Linked DNA regions of Caenorhabditis elegans. The protein of the gene in region 3 purifies or fractionates together with the protein of the main gene of each other region. This does not show direct contact. Each region holds a gene or a part of one and is shown on either strand. Other genes may lie near its edges.

Region 1 (7,881 bases), on a different chromosome or scaffold from region 3:
ATTTTATTTCAACGGATATGAATGTGACCCTTATCGAAGCTTCTCGGAAGTATGAAAGACTTTAACTCGAAATTGAGCTATTCAACATCCAAATGGACAATCGAAAAATACACACAGAAAAGATTAATCTGAAAAAAGAAAAAATATTCACATTTTGTTGAGATTGTTTGTGGAAGAATGATCGACCAATAATCTTAGCCAGAAAGCTCTAAAAAGATGAGACTATGCCTTTCATTTACGCGGGAAATTAAATATAATTCAGTCAATTTTTCTAGATTTGTAAAACTGTAAAAATCTTTTTTCTTATTCGATAAACTTTAATCAAACATTTTACAGTCCAAACTTTTGAAAAACTCAAACAAAAATTTGTTTTATTAAAATAAAACTCATTGGCATTTCTCGACTCACAAAAACTAAAAATCCGTAGAGCCAAATAATTTTGAAATTTGTATTCCTGAATGAAAAAAGCTGATAATCTGTATAATTTATTTTTACCAGATGTAGTTTTTTTTTCTAAATTTGAACACACAGTGTAAACAACCTTGACAAACTTCCGTGGAATTAACTTCATACTATAAAAAACTACTAATATCAAAATTGGAAAAAAGTTGTTTGAGTCAAAAAGAGGAAACTAGAGGGACAAAATGAAAAAGGGACCAACACCATTTTTGTTTCAACCGAGATTTGTTCACCACTATTTTCTTTGTTTAAGTTCTTCGTCCAAATGAAATCGTTCACTCCTCCACTGGGAAAATTCATTATTTGTAAGCGGGTTTTTAAGCAGTACGCTATTTTAAAGTTTGCTGAAAAATGAAATTAGATAGAAAAACAACTATTCAAACATCTGGAAAATCCAAAAATGTAACTCCTTATTTTTTGAACAATATAATTTTTGTAGTTGGAATAAGAAATTATTGTTGTGCAATATTTTATAGTGGTTGTATGAATTTTTCTTCCAAACAATTAAGATTGTAACGCTGTAAGCACTCAATTAATCAGTTCCATAAATATGCCGGGACTCTTTGAATAGTATTGAAAATAACACTTCCGGCTCAAACATTTAATTTAAAAAGCAAGAATAGGTTTTTACTTTACGATTGAGTCTGTGTGGATTTGATCTATAAGTATTTGAAATATTGGAACATGACCGAATATCATGATAAAACACTCTAGAAAATTTTTTAACTTTCAGCTGCGGTAAATTGCCACATTTTCCAAAATTTAGGAATTTTTAAGAGAGCCTACAGTGTTCAAACACAAGCAATTGAAATGCGAAAAAAACTAGAAAAAAAAAGGAAAAACAATTTTTGTCGATTTTCAGAGTTGTAGTAGGTGAAAATTGAATGTGTTCCACTGACTAACTCACTGCGACCACTTTTTGAAAAAAATTTCAATCGATTTTCGAAACTTTCTACTATGGTATGTGGTTTTTTTTAACAAGTGAGTGGCTTTAAAGAATTTATTTACTGACCATACTTTATTGTTTGCGTTTTCAAAACTGTGAGCTTCTACCTTTTTGAAAATGTTGAGTTTTAGAGAAATACAAATTATAACCATTTCTATCGGAAACTGTTTTGATTTTTTTGTTTCATGAACCTATTTCAGTGCTATTCGACGGTTTTAGAAATTAATTGCCAAATTTTTATTGCTTCAAATTTTATATGTGGTTTTTTTTGTTGTGAATTCGAGTATTTTTGTGCAACATTTTTTCTCTAGGCCAAACTAAATATTTTATGCCAATTAAATTTTCCTCCGCTTAAAACACAGTGTGCACTGCACCTGTCCCACATCTCTTTTGCCGTGAGTGTCGTTAACTGCGCGTTGCCATGGCAATAACGCTTGCCAAAGAGGAGGCTGTCAGCAATTGCGTTCCAATTCTTTGTCTTCCGTCGCCGTTTTAAAATATTGTTGTGATTACTTTTTATCGAACAATATGCCGCCGATGTTGAATGTTATGGCAAATTACAATGAGAAAACAATTGGAAAATTGACAATGTCCGTGTTCCGAAAGGTAAATTAATTCTTCAATTTTAAAAAACTTATGATTTCACTGAAAACTTTAGTTCAATTTGGGACTTCCCGAACACGGACAGCTCCATTTTGCCGAGTGGAACTACAACAGTAATTATATTGCATGCGGTGGTGCACTAGGCAAGCTGAAAGTCGTCAAGATAGGAACGGATGCCACTGATTTGAATAAATCCCCAAATGCTGCAACTCTTGTGGTGAACCAAGCTTTGGAGGGGCATAATGGTAACTGAAACTTTGTAATTTAATTTAACAACAATTTAATATTTGCAGCAACTGTGATGAATGCTACGTGGAATGAAAATAATCAAAAACTGACAACGAGCGACACGTCTGGATTAATTATTGTATGGGGAATGTTCAACGAACAATGGTGTGAGGAAATGATTAATAATAGGTAACATATGATTTTTCAACAAACATGTGGGACCTGGTCTCGACGCGACAAGTTTTTGTTTTTCACATTTTGTTAATTGCAAAAAGAGTATACGTCTTTAAAAGGCAATTAACTTCAAACTTTTTAAACGATTTCCCATAGTTTTTGGTATATTTTTTAAGCAGTTTGATAAAATATAACAATGCAACAACATAAAATTCAACAAATCGCAAAAGAAACTATAAACATTCAATAAAAACTCCGCAGCGACAAGATTTTGAAATTACAGTACTGTGTAATGTCTGGGTATTAATAGTATATTCCATTAACATAAATTTATTAATTCAGAAACAAAAGTGTGGTTGTTTCAATCTGCTGGAATTTAGAAGGAACTAAAATTGCCATAGCATATGCTGATGGAAACGTGATTGTCGGGACGTTGGAAGGAAATCGAATATGGAATAAAGAGTTGGAAATACAATTGGCTGCGTGCGAGGTAAGCGGCATAAAAGTAATATTAATTGAACCATACAAGTTAAGTGGGCGCCTGATGGAGACATGCTGATTTTTGGAACTGCTGACGGAAAAGTTTCGGTTTTTGATGACAGTGGATCACATTTTGTAAGTTTATTTAACAATATTTTAAGACTATTCAGCAAATTAATTAATTTTGTAGTTGGATATTCCCATGCACTGTCTAGAAGCGGAGGATCTGGAGCAAGCATTAGCAAAGAGTTAGTTATAGCAGTCACATAATTCTTTACATATATTATTTTTTAGAAGAGCATCAAAAGGAGGAAATCGTCTGCTTGAAATACTGGAGTCCAACGTTGAAATCAAAAACTATTTTGGATGAAATGGAGAGAGATTTTGAAAGAAAATTAGAGAAGGATCGTGAGGTAACTGGAACGGCGATCTTCACTAATTTCCCAACAAAACCACCACCAAAAGAGTTGCCGGAACATGAAAAGAACACGGAGCCCTATCAACCAGTTCCTCCAGATCGTCCCCGATTTGTGGTTGCCTATGCGAGAGGAATGATGCAACTGATGAGATCTTTAAATGATCCAGGTAAGTGTCGTTGAGTTTTAGACAGGTCAACAATTTTAAATTTTGAAATTTGACGAAAGGGTCAAAAGTTAAATTTAAGTGCACTATTGAAAAATAGCTATATATTAGTATACTAATTCAATTAAAAACACTGGACAACACTAGAAATCAGAGGTGACTTAAGTTATGAAATTGTACAAAAATTACCTATTGCATCATGGCATTCCAAGTTTTATTCTTGACAAGTAATGTCAGAAAGAAGGAAAATACTTGCCTAATTTGAAAATATCATAGGTTTCAATTTGGCTGACACGTTTGAAATTTTTGAGACTTAACTGCTTCTTCATTTAATTTTCCTGGAAAGTTTTACTAAAAAAAAATCAAAACATGTAATTTCAATAATTATAAACATTGAAACTCCCTTTCATACATTTTTGCATTTTCAGAACCAGTCGTTGTTTCTATTCCGAATTTCAAAATCACTGGAGCCAAATGGTCGCCCAATGGAGCTTTTTTAGCAGTCTGTGGAAATGATTCAGACAAGGACGAACCAACTTTTTCAAAAATTCATTTTCTATCTGCTTACGGACATGTAAGAATTTTTATAGTTTTGCCGTGTGCACACAAAATTGGTTTTTTAGATCGTTGGATATTTTCAAACAAACGACTCTTGTATAACAGGAATTTGTTGGGAGTCAACAGGTCTTCGAATGGCGATTGCAGCTGCCGGAACTCTTCTCATTGGACAAATTCGCCCAGAGTTTAAGGTATGACATTCATAATATATTTTCATAAGTCCTTTTTTCACAGTGGGGATCAATTGAAGAAACAATAGTCTACGTTTACCAAAAAGAGGAGCTCTACCAATACGGCATAATGTTTTATGACTACAAGGTAATCAAAAACTTGATTTGCATACAAAATTTTAAGAATTTCACAGACTGATGAAAAAACTGTCAAAACTGTGACTCATTTCGAAAATATGGCCTTTTATCGGGAACATTGTGTTTTGATAAATCGACAGGATGACGGAGTCATACCACATGTAAGTACCAAGCAAGTGACGGGATGCTGATAGCTGATTTAGAAAGTTTTCCATATGGGGAATTAGGTTATACACCATCTACACTTGCTACACAATTCCGAGGCAAAATGTAAATTATGTTTCAGTACTTCTGTCAACTCTGTAATAGCATCGGAACATCACTAGACTACAACGTGACAACGGTTCGTCCAAAGTTTGCATGTGTTAATGGAATTTGTGCGGTGATTGCTTCTGAGGATAGATATTTTATCTGGCATTTTGTACTTCCAAAGTTTAACTCCGTGCAAGCAGGAATTCATGTCCCTGGAAAATCTGGTATTTGCGAAAAACGGTAACATATAATATTATCAGTATTCTTATAGGTGATTACGTTTTGGAAGAACAACAAAGAACAATTGAGTATGGCACTAAACGTTTAGTGAGTTCATCCAATTTTTAACAAATTGAACACAAAAACTGATTTTTTCAGCTTGGGAGCAAGGATGAAATTTGTGCTCTTTGCATTGGTGATACTTTCTTTATGATGGTAAGTTTGTTAAATAAAAATTGAAAATAGTGTAGTGCCAGTAGTGATTTTGCACATTTTGTCCGACGAAACTTAAAAATTGTCTAAATTTTGACTTATATTAATAATTAATTTTGACTTATTCACTTTTACTGAAAGTTCGCTCTTAAATTTCAAATTTTGAATTCAAAATTTCCCAACACTTTATGACAAGATTTTAAAAAAAGTTCAAGTTTTGAAAAATAACTTTTACCTATAATCTGAAATTTCGACAAACTTTTCTGTGTCAAGGCGGCTAAATTGATTTTTAATCTGAAAAGTAGAAATTCACTGAAAATGTAAAACTGGTTTCCCTACTTACTTAGAAAGAAACCTGAAAAATTTTGTAAACCACAAAATGAAAATGATTGAAAAATATTAAAAATCGGAACTCCTTTTTTTTAAATATTTCGGGCGGTAATTTTTTCTGCCATCTTTTTCACTAAGAAAACTTTCAGGCGTTGTTAAGCGGTGGAATCTATAGAGTATCACTAAATGACGGAGTTATCACTAACAGCTATCCAGTTTCCCCATCTATCAATTCCATTAAGTTGAATTGTACTTTTACCCGCCTGGCAGTTATCAAATTGGTTGAACGTAAGTCATTTGTGCTTATTTATTGTTTAAATCATTTATTGGAACAGGGCGTGAAAGTCGAATAAGTCGTAGATAACTTTCAGAAGTTCCATTTCAATTTTTGTTGTATGAGTTCGACGGTGATGAATTGAAGCTGATTTACACAAGTGATAAGAGAGACGTCTGGGATTATGAATGGGATCAGGTTTGTTACATTATTTTATTTTTGAACAATTTATTACCTGAAAATATTTCAAGAACAATAGCAACATGCTTGCCCTCAAGGATAAGCAGAAAATATTGATTTGTGACGGAAATTCAATACTGGAGCAGTCATCTGTGAATGGAAGCATTCTGCTGTTTCAAAATTTGGTTGTTACCGCCGTCAACATTGAGAAAATTTTACTGACTCCCGAAAACCCAACGAAAACATGCATAGTGGAGGTTATGATAAAAGCAAAACAAGACGTCATGAACCTTGTCAATGCGATGAAACTCGAAGAAGCCATAGATTACGCGGAGCGAAGTCCTCACTCGGAGCTTTGGAGCATGATTGCGAACTATGCAGTTTTTAAACATGCGTTCGATTGCGCAGAACACGCGTTTGTAAAACTTGGAGATTACGCAGGGGTTCAGTTGGTCAAAAAATTAAGGAATATCCAGTCAAATGATTTGAGGAATGCCGAAATATACGCATACCGTGATACACTTGAAGAAGCAAAAACTGCATTTTTGCAAGCTGATAGACGGCAAGTCAATCGATGCATATAAAGCGTGAATGTACAAAATCCAAAATCTAAAAAACTTTGTTGTTCTTTGTCAAGAAAACCTCAAAATTAAACGGTCCCTACTTACTAACTCAGCGTCGCACAATGTTCACTTTGCAGTAACGATCCACGCCCTCAGTAAGGTAAATATAGTGCCGTGCGGAACCCAGTAGATGTCGGACCACGAAATCAGTTACTCGTCTAATGAAGTACTGAAAGGTTTTGAGTGTGGATCCTTTCAGGACTCCAAATGTATATTGATATTTAGTTTTCCAAATTTAAAATAGTTGAATACTGAATGATTACTAAAAATTGAAACTTTAAATTTATAAAGTTGAAATTTCAGAGACCTAGCTGTTGAAATGTACAAAAAGGTTGGTGATTACGCATCTGTATATGATTTGATTCGAAATGATGACGATGATGAAGGGAAATGTGATGCATTCAGAAACATGGCTGAAACACACTACGAAATGATGGAATGGTAATATCTTTCTAATTTTTTTAAAAATTATAAATATGGCTTCCACGCAAACGCCTGCTATCCGGCGTGCGGCGCGCAACCCAAAAAGTGTCGGACGCTGAGAAGCATACATTTATCCTATATTTTCAGGGAAGAAGCCGCCAAGGCTTACTCCTATTGTGGAGACACCGCAAATCAGATTGATTGTTTGATAAGAGGAAATCTTTTTGGAGAGTTGGAAGTTCTTGCTAGAACTCTCTCAGATGACAGTGAATTTATGGAGGTACGATTTTTTTTTAGAAAGATGTTGCTTTACATGTTCTTGTTTTAGGTAATGGGCGATGCATTCACATCTCGCGGAATGTGTGACCAAGCTGTTGAATGCTATTTAAGACGGAGCCTGCCACAGAAAGCATTGCACGCGTGTAAAGAGCTGAATCAGTGGCAGAAAGCACAATTCATCGCTGATGCAAATCATATGGAAAATGTGGAAGGACTATTGGGAAAATTCGCGGTTGAAATGCGAGGAGGTTTGTTTATTTTTTAAATTTTTATGTTAAATTCTAATTTTTGTCATTATTCAGAAAGCGACGAGAAATCATTATCTGCTCTTGCACTTTATATGCGAGCAGGAAGACATCTTGACGCCGCCAAAATAGCGTTTGATGCAAGTTTCCGTCTCTTGTTTTTTATGTGAACCCCACAATTTCCTTTCAGATTGCAAAAGACAGAAAGTCAAAGTATGTCCCATATGAAGAGTTGAAGCAGTGCTACGTGCTCGGTGCAGTTCTCGTAGAAAATCACAGGCAAACTATCAAGGAGTTGAGGAAAATTGATGTAGCTGATTTTGAGAATTGAAATACATAAATAATTGATTTATTTCAGAAGCACAATTTTCTGGAGGATGCGTTAGATGATGAATCCGGGTTGAGTGCTGAGCAGTCAAGAATTTTGGAGAATACCTGGAGAGGAGCAGAAGCTTTTCATTTTATGATAATGGCACAACAACACTTTTTCGAGAGTAAGAATGTT
Region 2 (3,473 bases), on a different chromosome or scaffold from region 3:
TACTGAAAGTGCAGCAGCAGCCGTTTTGGTTCTCTTGATTGAGGGAGCAGCAGCTTCATCGACGGCTTTCCGTTTTCCATTCTCCTTTGGTGTGATTGGTTTTGTAGAAAGTGATGCTGTTGCATGTTTCAGAAGATCTCCACCAACTGACGCTGACTTGTGCATTCCGTTCACAACGACGGAGGCAGCAACAGGAGTCGACTCGCCAGGCGAAACTTGACTACGTGGAGCATATGAACCGTTCGCTGGCGAGACAAGGCGCTGTTGGGAACCTGTAAAGTCGATTTAAAACAATCAACTTGTTTAAATCGAATTATACCTGGAAGGCCAGTAGATGTGACCCGCCTTCCAGCTGGTGTATTAGGTGTAATTCCTCGCTGCATGAGCCTGGCGACACTCGGAGAAAGAACATTCGGTGTTGTATTTCGAGAAGAAGCTCCACTTTGCGGCCTTTTAACCTGCAATTGTTTTTCGTAAAAATCGAGTTGCATTATAGTATCATCATTATTTTTAACATAAAAATTACATTCATCACAAGAATAGGAATCATAGAATTCACTAATTACCTCATCGCACACGATTTCGGACCACGATTTGATAACTTCTCTACTTATCCTCAAAAGAGCTGGCCACTTTTTGAAGTACTGCCTCCGAAGCTGATTGACGACGAATCCAATTCGAGTTTCCTGAATTAACAAATTCTTGTGTTTCTAGTATCTTTCCCCTTGTGAATGATTTTAGTTCGTTGCTAATACGCATTCTACACACTGCGCGAGATATCCAAGCATGCCAGTCTATTCAAATTCATCGATTGACGTGCGTGTCTCGTTGCCTACCCTCAACATATACATGAAGAGTTCAGAGAAAAGGGGGTAAGCAACGAGACACTGTGCATTAGACACGCGAGAGGGGTTCGAGACGCAGAGGAGGTATCTCCATCGGGTGTCTAGTCAGTCGGGGCAAAGCGGCCCGAGGAGGACGCGCCTGCCTTCTCGGCTCTCTCGGGCGGCTTCACGCCCAACAGTCGGGTAAAAAAAAGCGCGTGTTGGTGGCTTTAATAGACAAACCTTACCTCTAAAATTTCTCGACTCGTCACCAACGGCCGAACTTCGTTGAGCAGTGATTCGCACAACGTCTGATCATCCTGAAGCGAAATACATTGAAATCAAAACGTAAAAAAGAATGGTATGGGAAAAACTGTTTCAGATCTTCAGGATTATTTCCCAAAAAACTGATAATTCTTTATTTGTTTGTTTTTGTATTGAATTGAAAATAAAAATGGAAAATGCATTATTATAAAAATAAATTTTATTTATATATATAAATAATAAAATAACAAAACAGATCAGCAGGAAACCAAGAATTAAAGTAATACATGAAATTATCTACTCGCAACCTGAAAACACAGATGCTGGGAAAGCCCAGCTTCCATTTATTAGCAAAATAACCCTCATTAAAATGATTTTTTGTTTTATTGTGAAATTATCGATTTTTCAAAAGCTTTTCTATTGACGGGTGTGATTCATGGGACGAGGCTTACATTTTCAGCGGCTATTTGAAGCCGTTTTTTGATTTCTTCAACATTTTGAGCAGACGCAGCCATTGAAACCGCCAAGTGATTTGGTGGCTGCAAGGAGGAGAGCGCAGCGCAAGCGACCATCCATTCACAGCCCGAGCTGGGCGACTGAACGCGCGCGCGCGACTCTCCCTCTTTTATACCCCTCGTGGAGGCTGTTGCAGTGCGCTGATTGGCTGGCCACGCCTCTTACGGAGAGGCAATTGGCTTCTGGAGACATAAACCCCGCCCATCTACACGCTCCGCTTGCAGATGCGTTGCGGCTCGAAAATTTTTATTATATATTTATTGAAACAAACATTTTAAAGCTATAAGCTTCCAAAAATAAGGACTGTTAACGAACTTGAAAAGTGTTTTAATTGTATTGCTTGTAGTTTTTCAAAATAATTCGTTCCCCGAAAGAGCAGTATTGATTAAATTCTTTTCAGACGACGGGCTTCTTGTTTTGTTATTTTAATCTCAACTATCCTGCTTCTAAATGAACAGAAATAATGATAATACTCGAAAGTTTTTGCTGTTGTCTTGTGATTCACTTTGAGCACTCCGCACTTTGTTCTCGTGACATATTTCATAATTTTTCATAAGCATCTGTTTTTAGATGAAGCAAACGAGCCAGGATTCAGAATACAACAGCGTGCTGAGTCGGAAACTGGGAAGAAGGGACGATTCGGTGGGATTCTAAAGGTATTTGAGTTCTGAAGCATCTTCGCATTTTAAAATAGTTTTTAATTTAGGAAAATCCAATTAAAGGATTCAGCAGTGAGACTCTCACACGCCCTCTGACAGGTCTTTTTCGAAAAACTGGAAAATCGCAGAGGAAAACTGATGATGATGATTCACAGGAGACGATCGCTGCACCGCCAACCAATTTCCCGAATATGGCAAGGATTTGTAAGTTTTCATTTTCTTTTGGTTTTGTGCATAAATTATTACTATTAATTTTCAGCCGCTACTATAGAAAGTGTGCAGATTAATGATGAGTATGCGGGTTATCGAGACCGCAATCCGGAAACTGGAAGCAAGTTGACATTAAACGAAGGTGCGGGCGTTTTTGGAAATGCCATGCATCCACTCACACGATATTTCAAAGTCGGAGATGTTGGTGAGATTCGAATATCAAATTACTCTCAAATACACTTCAATTTTCATTCAGACGTTTCCATTCTCGGGCGATCGTTTCCAACTGAAAAGACGGTGGACGAAGAGGGTCCATGGACTGCTCAAAGCCTCTTCAATTCTCTCGAGTCTCGCATTAAAAAGGAAAGGATAGATGCGAAAGATCAACCGTCCGATTCTCGTTCCCGAAATGCTCGTGAAACTTTGATTTCCAGCAAATATTAATCTGTAACTGAAAATCTAAAGTATACTTGTGATATCAATAAAAATAAATCATCATCTTTCTACAATACTATTCCTTGAAATGTAAAGGTGAATATATCCTTCCAGAAATGCCTGACAATCTAGATTGCAATATTTATGCACACCATTCCTAACTATTTCAGATTTTCAGATGAGGGTTCGGCCAGCAAGTGTCTATCGATACCTGCTTCTCGGTGTTTGCGCTCTTCTCGGTATCTACACAGTATACTCGATTATCGGATATGATGATGGATCACACGTTCCAATTCACAGACCACAACGTCATCTTTACCTAACAGTATCTCAGGATAGAATCGGTAGCCGTTTTGGGAAACTTGCCCCGAAACGAATTCTATACTGGACTACAATATTCGGTGCAACTGTTCCTTCAACTGCTCTTTCAGACTGTCCAGGATTAACGGTATTATTGTAAATAAATACAGTTATAAATTATTTATTTTGAAGGATCGTTGTGTAATTGATACAAATCGCCATCAATTGGATTCGGCTGATGCTGTCGTATTTCATGCTGCTGATA
Region 3 (7,704 bases):
GAATCACGCTCGGGTTGTAGGTCAAACTATATTCTGAACAGTACAGAGGATTTATAAGTATGTAATTGATCACGACGTAGGCAGAAGAGATGTTTCTAACCATTGGTTCAATATAAAATTGGGCATTTATATTGGAAGTAATCAAATAATGTTGTGAACAGATATGACCATTGAAAAATTGCTTAAATTACAGCATAAGAACCTTCCAAAGTGTTTTTATTTCTGATCAAAAAATGGAAATAAAAGTTAACTTGATCTATAGGTTTGCGGTCAAAGTGCCATTTATCTTCATAATATACAGGATGGCCCATAATTATGGGGACCGTAGTTTTGTACGCAAATCTCACGTCTCACAAACTAAAAAATGAGGGTTTGTTACTTTATTGATAGACAAAATATTTTTCTATCAGCTAACATAAAAAACTTTTCGATTGGTCGAACAACAGAAGTTTGGCAGCGTCGGGAGTGTAACATGTTTTCACCCTTCTGGCGCGCAACTTTTTTTTGCATAGTTTAGGTTCTCTAAATGTTGAAACTGATTTTTTCTGTAGTGTTTTGTGCATTTTAGAACCACAAAATATATTCTCACAGTATACAAAAAAAGAAAAACAAGTTTCATTAGAATCCAGCTTCTAATGGACAATTGTTTGGAACTAGCTAAATCCCGTTTTCGCAAAAAATTGAGCGATTTTTTCACACATTCTTGCATATTCAGTAATATCTCAGGTCATTGGAATGATAGGGACATAATTTTTTACACAAAAGTAGAAGTTGGACTGTAGATCTGAAATATATTATTTTCAAAAAATTCCGCCGTCTCCTGACTTTCAAACCGAGTCGAATGTGCGCGTTTTGAGCTTTTCAACCTATCTCCCTTCAATCAATGGCCACACTAACGGAAAATTATTAAAATGGACGAATTGTTTTGAAATACGTATTCTACAGTCAATGTCATTTTAAAAAGTAATAGTAAACTTTTTAAACTGGCAGGAGTCGCTGAAGACATCATTAGAAAGAAAAACACCCACACTAGCGCGCCAGCGACAATTTAACTTCGGAACGTCGGAAGGTGTGTAACGTGTCACATAATGATATTTTCAAAGTTTAATAACATATTTTGTTCCTAAGAATATGGGGAATAAAACCTATGCTGTTAAAATTTTTTTGAAGGATTGCATCAAATTTTATAGACGCAAGTATCGGTCCCCATAATTATGGGCCACCCTGTACTTATGTACATAGTAGGGTAAATGATTTCCAATACAACTTTGATTTATGTTAAATGTTTTAATGTTCAACATTTGTGGGGGAACTTTATTCATGATAAGAACCCAGGAAAATTATGTACTTATTTTGTCTTTTTTTTTGCCTTTGCCCGTCAGTTCAAACCCAAGTTCTTTCTTGAAACATCCCCTTTTCCGAATTTATCTAGATGTTTCCCCGAAATTTTAATAATTCACTTATCTGGTTTTAAATCGACATTTTTCTTCAATACTGCCCCTTTCTTTCCAATTCCATTCGAATATCTATTCCGCCTTCCCCCGCGAGCAAAATCTCCATGGCAACCAAAACACGCATCTCCCCTTTGTTGTTTACTTTTTGTCCTTACTTCCCGATTTCTTCAATTATTAACATAAATGAAACCATTTTTAATTGAATGGGCACCTCACTGTGGTTGGATTTGTGTTGTAACTCAAGATGAGACAACTGGAGAAGCAAATGTCGCATTTTCGGATCATTCAGTAAGAAAAATGAACAATCGAACGAGATTATAATCTGTTTTATTCATGGATCAAAGCTAAATCCTTGAGTTATTTTCAATAGATCTTTAAAACAAATATGTACTTGAGCGTATCTTCCCGTTTATTAGATAATAATTGAAACAATTTTAAGGGATCTGTGCAAGAAAAGGGGCCATCAAAACCAGGATCAGTTTCTTGTGTAAGATGGCATCCAAAGAAACAATTCGTGGTAGTAGGATGGAAAGATGGAGGAGTTTGTTTTATTCCAAAAGGAGGGAATGTTTGTGAGTGATTTTCAAAAAACTAATACTACAAAAAGTTATATATATATATATAAATAATGTTTTAGTAATGGAAAACTCATTTCAGCTCATACTGTGGTCGAAACATATCCATTTCCAAATCAAGGAGTAGATTGGAGCCACGACGGAACTGTTTTGATGACGTTGCATAATGTGAGTATCAATTTAAAAAACTTACAAATTATTTTATTTAATTTCAGCCATCATCAGTCCATTTATACTCCTACATGGTAATTGGAGAAGAAATTTCCACTTCAAATATAATGCAGATTGAGCTGAACGATCAAATTACGTTATGGTGTAAACGATTGAGCTATGACAAGTAATATAATTCATAAATCTGAGTGAAATTAAAAATGGTAAAATTTAAGATTCAAACCAAGTAAAATTTCTGTAACGGATGATGACAGTGGAGTTGATGAGTCACCGTTCGGTTCAAAAGAGTCACTGGCAGAAAGAAGAGATGAAAAGAGTACTGTACCAAAGGGTACTGAGTTCTTATTTGCAGGCAAATCAGGTACCATTTATGGAGTGGATAATGACCGACAACGGACTATTCATAAGGTGAGCTAGGATAAAGGTTACTAGTCTATGCACAAATGTAGCCAACTTTGTATTGAAGAGTTCTGGTTCCTAATAAATATTTACAAGCAGATGAAATAATACAGTAGTTTATAATTTTTCAAAATTTTCCATGTTTAGTAAAAAAATTTATAAATTCTACTTCTATGGAAGTTGCACGCACTGTATGCCAATTAATTACTATTAAGCAAAATGCAAGAAGGCAAAGGAAAAATTTAATTGTAAGAAAACTCCAATAAAAAAGCGACGAGTAGGAAATACTGTTCTCTTTAAAGACTCACGCCTCTTTTCACAACAGTCTTTTACATTACAGTGGTCCAGATTCACCTATGCTGTAGAGAAGTTACTTTGACCGCTCCAAAAATAATTTTAGAGATAAAAGGCATCAAGAATTTGTTTAAGAAGATTTTGATTTTCTCGTAAATATAAAAATTCTATTCAAAAATACAAACAGAACTACAGAAAATTTTTTAAAAATTTATCCAAATATTATTATTTTTGACATATCTGACTAGTGGTTACTCATAAATAAAAACTCAAATTATGTTTAAAAATCTAAAATTAAAAAATTGGAAAAATTTTCAGCTGGACTCGGAAATCTTATTCATGGGATACTGTGAGACAATATCGATAATTATTGTATTTACAAGAGATTGCTTCATTTTTCATTTGGCCAAGGGAACATCTGAAATGCGATGCGCAGAACGAGTAAAAGTGAAACTCGGAGGAAAATCTGAAAAATATTCTTTGGAATTGGATGATGGAATACTGGTGATGTGTTATGGTGAAAAAGAAATTCGAGTATGGGACTTGATAAAAGAGGAGAATGGAACAATTGCATTAGATGTAAACAAGGGATTTCAACCAGATGAGACAATAAATGTAGTCACAGTTAATGGGAAAAGAGGTAAGAAAACCGGAAATAGAGGTAATCAAAGAAAATATTGATCAGGTGTGATAACTGCGGCAACGAGTCTCAATAATATTGCTGAATGGAAACGAAAACGAACTGATACTAATGTCGAGAGTGCTTGGAATTTGAGTCCCAGCACGCATGTCGATAGCCAGGTGAGTGAAGATGACACGCTAATCCCCTTTTAGAATGTTAGATGAGAATATCCTCCAAATGTTATTCCTATTCGAGTTTCTTATAAATTTTGAGTTTATAGAACTGAACTAAAAACAAAATAGCTTTTTCCAAAGTAGGAAATTTTTTCAGTTTTCCACAAAAACATAGTATTTTAATAGTGTATATTTTTTCATCTATTTCGGTTGAGAACGTTTATTTTGCTAGTTGTCATTCAAACTTCATTTGTCAACATAGTTATAGCCAATTCACTCAACCTCACAAAATTAATTTGTTTTTTGATGTTTGATATGGTAGTCTATGTGTTTTAGTGTGAATTTTTTAACTCCATACTTTTGATTTTTTGCTGAGTGCTGCCAATGCCTCTAACCGGAACTACAACACTATAATTTTTTAACTTACATTAAGGTATACTTAAAATGCAATTATTATGATAACCTAAACGTCTAATTTTAAGAGAGCTTATTTAAGGTTTCATTAATTCGTTGGAGTCCGATACTGAGCACAGCTGCTTTAATAACTGAAGAAGATCTTGTCTTAATTGGAGAAAACTCATTGACAGTAAAAATGCGTGGAAAAATGGCGGCAATTCAGACCAGTTCAAATAGTTTCACTCTTTTACATGCGACAAGTGGAGTCTCTCAAGATTTGAAGTTGTCTATTCCTTCTGCAAAAGGAATTTGTCTCGGAGAGAAGCAACTTGTTGTTTGGAATGAAGATACGGTATTCAACAGATATTCTGAATCACCGGTTTAATAAAAATTTGCAGGTAGTCACTTATGACGTACAAACATCTCTTGCAACTATCCAATGCACATCATTTTCTTGTAACACAACTTCTGTTGCAATTGTGAATCAAAACTTGTATTGCATCGAAAAAGACAAAATATTTGCGAGGACTCTTCAAGGAACTCTTCGACAAGAAATTTCCTTACCGGAAATTGAAGGTGATCCGGAAATACTTGAAGTGAATCGATGTTGGATGGCAGTTGCTACTACAAATGGATTCATTCGAATTTATAACTTAAGCGCAAAGTACAAAAATTTACTAGAAGCTATTGATTTATTGATATTAAACTTTCAGAGATGCCCAACAAGAACACAATTCGAAATACATTATCGAAAATGTGAAGAATTTTTATAAATTTCATACAATCCGAATCAATCATACTGGAAATAAAGTCGCTGTATCTTATTTAGAGGTAGTTGTTTTGTTGCAAATAATGCAGGAGCTTAAAATTTTTCAGGACGTGTCGACAGTTGCTGAACGCCTACTTGTCTACGACGCCGAACTCGATGCAGTTTCTTATTTCTCGTTTGATCGTGGAATGACAGATACGCAAGAATATGAAACCCAAGCAGAACTTGCTCATACAAGCAGTGGAAGACCTGTTACAGCAGCTGCACGGAAAATGGCAAGAGAACAATCAAGATTTCAAATGATGAACCATCGTCCTGGAGCTTTTGAATGGGATGAGAATGATGCAAGATATCTTGTAGTTGAATGCATACATGTTGAACCTGAATCAGTAAGTTACTTCAATCTGGACAAATGTAGAATTTTCAAAACAATATAACACATTTTTAACCAGGTCAATTGTTTAAAAAAACTTAGAAAACTTCCATCTTGTTTTCAGACCGATCAAAGAGTTTTAACAGCATTTGTAACTTCTGAACATGGAATACAACTTCAAGGAATGCAGCAAAAAAATCTGCATTGTGGAAAACTTGTTTCAGTCTCTGTTCCAAATTTTTATTTTGTTCGGAAATCTGGATGGGATGAGGAAGACAATCGAGATGAGAGAACTATTGGAAAAACTCTCGTGGCTAAATGTCTTCGAGAGTTTTTAGGTATGAAAGGACCCAGTTGCAAGTTATAAAAATACATTTATTTCAGGAAACGAAAATTGTGACGAATCAACTAGAAAAGCCATGATGGATTTCTCATTTTACCTGACGATTGGTAGCATGGACGCTGCATTTAAAGCAATTCAATTCATAAAAAGGTCCGTTGTTAACTCAAGAAACTCTATTTGTGATTATGATTTTTAAGCGATAGTGTATGGGATCATATGGCATCAATGAGTATTAAAACACGTCGACTAGATGTTGCAATGGTTTGTCTGGGACATATGAAAAATGTGAGAGGAGCCCGGGCGGTGCGGAGATCTCAACAAAATGGGGAGAATGATTCAATGAAGTGTGCAGCTTTGGCAATTGAATTGAGTATGCTGGAGGAAGCATTGATTATCTATGCACAAAATGAAAGATATGATTTGATGAACAAGCTTTATCAGTCTCAAAATATGTGGTCATCAGCTTTTGAAATTGCTGAAACAAAGGATCGTATTCATTTGAGAAATACTCATTACAACTATGCAAAGTATTTGGAAGCAAGAAGAGATCAAGCAAGTATTGAAGCTGCTATTGAGAAGTTGGTTTATTTGTAGTTTTGAATGATAACAAAAAATATATTTTCAGTTACGAAAAAGCAGGAGTTCATGCTTTTGAAGTTTTCCGAATGCTCAAAGACTATCCAAAACAAATAGAACAATATGTTCGTAGAAAACGTGAAGAGCGAGTTTATTCAAAAATTCTAAAAAATATTAATTCACAAAAATTCAGATCATTGTATAGTTGGTGGGGAGCCTACTTGGAAAGTGTTGGAGAATTGGAGGGTGCAATAAGCTTCTACTCTTCTGCAAAAGATTATTACTGCATGGTTCGTGTAAAGTGTATTCAAGGCAAAACCGATGAGGCTGCTCGGCTTGCCGAAGAATCAAAAGATAAAGCAGCGTGTTATCTAATTGGAAGAATGTATGAAAATGATGGTGACGTAGTGAAAGCTGTGAAATTCTTCACAAAGGCACGAGCGCTGTCATCTGCAATACGTCTCGCAAAAGAGCATGACATGAAAGATAGGCTTGCTAATTTATGCTTGATGGCGGGTGGATCTGAACTTGTAAGCGCTGCAAGATACTACGAAGATCTTCCTGGATATGCACACAAAGCTGTAATGCTGTATCATAAAGCTGGAATGATTGGAAGAGCTCTTGATTTGGCATTTCGTACTGAACAGTTCAGCGCTCTGGATTTAATTACCAAGGATTTGGATGCAGGAACAGATCCAAAAATATTGAGAAGAGCTGCTGAATTCTTTGAAAATAATCAAAACTACGAGAAGGCAGTTAACTTTTTGTGCCTAGCAAAAGAGTTTTCTGGAGCCGTACAATTATGCAAAAATAGGAATGTGAGAGTCAGTGATAAATTTGCAGAACTTATGACTCCAACAAAAGGTTCGTGTTTTCTTTTGAGATTCATGTAAAATTTACACATTTTGAAGATGACATGCCAAATGTACAAGAAAGAAAACAAGTTCTTGAAACAGTGGCGGAGCTTTGTCTTCAACAAGGTGCCTACTCAGCAGCAGCAAAGAAGTTTACACAAGCAGGAGACAAACTATCTGTATGTTGGTATAATTTATATAATGCTCAGTTTCCATTTCAGGCAATGAGAGCTCTTCTCAAATCCGGAGACATTCAAAAAATTCGATTTTTTGCAAACACTGCTCGAAACAAGGAGATCTACATTCTGGCAGCCAATTTCTTACAAACGACTGATTGGCAAGATAATCAGCAGACAATGAAAGATATCGAAACATTTTATACAAAATCACAATCTTTTGAACATCTTGGAAATTTCTACAAATCAGTTGCAATTGTATGAGGTTCTTAGTGTTTGACATGTTATTTGTTTATTTTTAGATTGAAGCCGAACATTTGAGAACTCTTGATAAATCGATGGGAGCTTTGGAAATGGCGGCAGTTTGTGTTCTGGAAGCAGAACAAAAAAATATGTCCACGACTGGACTTGATGCATTGAAAGAGGATTTGAAAAAATATGTAGTTCAACTGAGGAAACTGCAGAGTGTTTTAGAGTGAGTAAAAAATTCAAGAATTGGGCTGAAAAATTAATTTAGAGTAATGAAAAA

Evidence for each region.
Region 1: the proteins of che-11 (region 3) and ifta-1 purify together in Caenorhabditis elegans (affinity purification with mass spectrometry, with the first as the bait; one study listed by BioGRID). This does not show direct contact.
Region 2: the proteins of che-11 (region 3) and ift-43 purify together in Caenorhabditis elegans (affinity purification with mass spectrometry, with the first as the bait; one study listed by BioGRID). This does not show direct contact.

Annotation. Positions count from the first base shown.
Region 1 is NC_003284.9:5,546,749-5,554,629, reverse strand, and holds the start of ifta-1 (Anaphase-promoting complex subunit 4-like WD40 domain-containing protein), read left to right. Parts: upstream 1-1,877; 5' UTR 1,878-1,933; coding exon 1,934-2,011; intron 2,012-2,063; coding exon 2,064-2,253; intron 2,254-2,301; coding exon 2,302-2,425; intron 2,426-2,752; coding exon 2,753-2,900; intron 2,901-2,944; coding exon 2,945-3,025; intron 3,026-3,080; coding exon 3,081-3,138; intron 3,139-3,184; coding exon 3,185-3,475; intron 3,476-3,900; coding exon 3,901-4,046; intron 4,047-4,095; coding exon 4,096-4,221; intron 4,222-4,264; coding exon 4,265-4,348; intron 4,349-4,394; coding exon 4,395-4,499; intron 4,500-4,624; coding exon 4,625-4,814; intron 4,815-4,861; coding exon 4,862-4,917; intron 4,918-4,968; coding exon 4,969-5,025; intron 5,026-5,501; coding exon 5,502-5,640; intron 5,641-5,723; coding exon 5,724-5,824; intron 5,825-5,877; coding exon 5,878-6,368; intron 6,369-6,732; coding exon 6,733-6,870; intron 6,871-6,999; coding exon 7,000-7,132; intron 7,133-7,180; and 8 more.
Region 2 is NC_003280.10:5,659,381-5,662,853, reverse strand, and holds ift-43 (Intraflagellar transport protein 43 homolog), read left to right. Parts: upstream 1-2,067; coding exon 2,068-2,083; intron 2,084-2,174; coding exon 2,175-2,260; intron 2,261-2,310; coding exon 2,311-2,467; intron 2,468-2,522; coding exon 2,523-2,678; intron 2,679-2,729; coding exon 2,730-2,917; 3' UTR 2,918-2,973; downstream 2,974-3,473. Other genes in the region: mdt-26 (TFIIS N-terminal domain-containing protein), read right to left, coding at 1-272, 320-458, 567-686, 1,073-1,144, 1,541-1,660; Alpha-(1,3)-fucosyltransferase fut-3, read left to right, coding at 3,087-3,356, 3,401-3,473. UniProt on the Caenorhabditis elegans protein: As a component of IFT complex A (IFT-A), a complex required for retrograde ciliary transport and entry into cilia of G protein-coupled receptors (GPCRs), it is involved in ciliogenesis.
Region 3 is NC_003283.11:12,144,623-12,152,326, reverse strand, and holds the start of che-11 (WD_REPEATS_REGION domain-containing protein), read left to right. Parts: upstream 1-1,619; 5' UTR 1,620-1,637; coding exon 1,638-1,742; intron 1,743-1,893; coding exon 1,894-2,026; intron 2,027-2,111; coding exon 2,112-2,197; intron 2,198-2,244; coding exon 2,245-2,366; intron 2,367-2,415; coding exon 2,416-2,608; intron 2,609-3,211; coding exon 3,212-3,533; intron 3,534-3,578; coding exon 3,579-3,694; intron 3,695-4,184; coding exon 4,185-4,436; intron 4,437-4,482; coding exon 4,483-4,748; intron 4,749-4,797; coding exon 4,798-4,915; intron 4,916-4,960; coding exon 4,961-5,242; intron 5,243-5,350; coding exon 5,351-5,564; intron 5,565-5,610; coding exon 5,611-5,719; intron 5,720-5,766; coding exon 5,767-6,147; intron 6,148-6,194; coding exon 6,195-6,290; intron 6,291-6,338; coding exon 6,339-7,009; intron 7,010-7,056; coding exon 7,057-7,178; intron 7,179-7,220; coding exon 7,221-7,433; intron 7,434-7,477; coding exon 7,478-7,650; intron 7,651-7,692; and 1 more.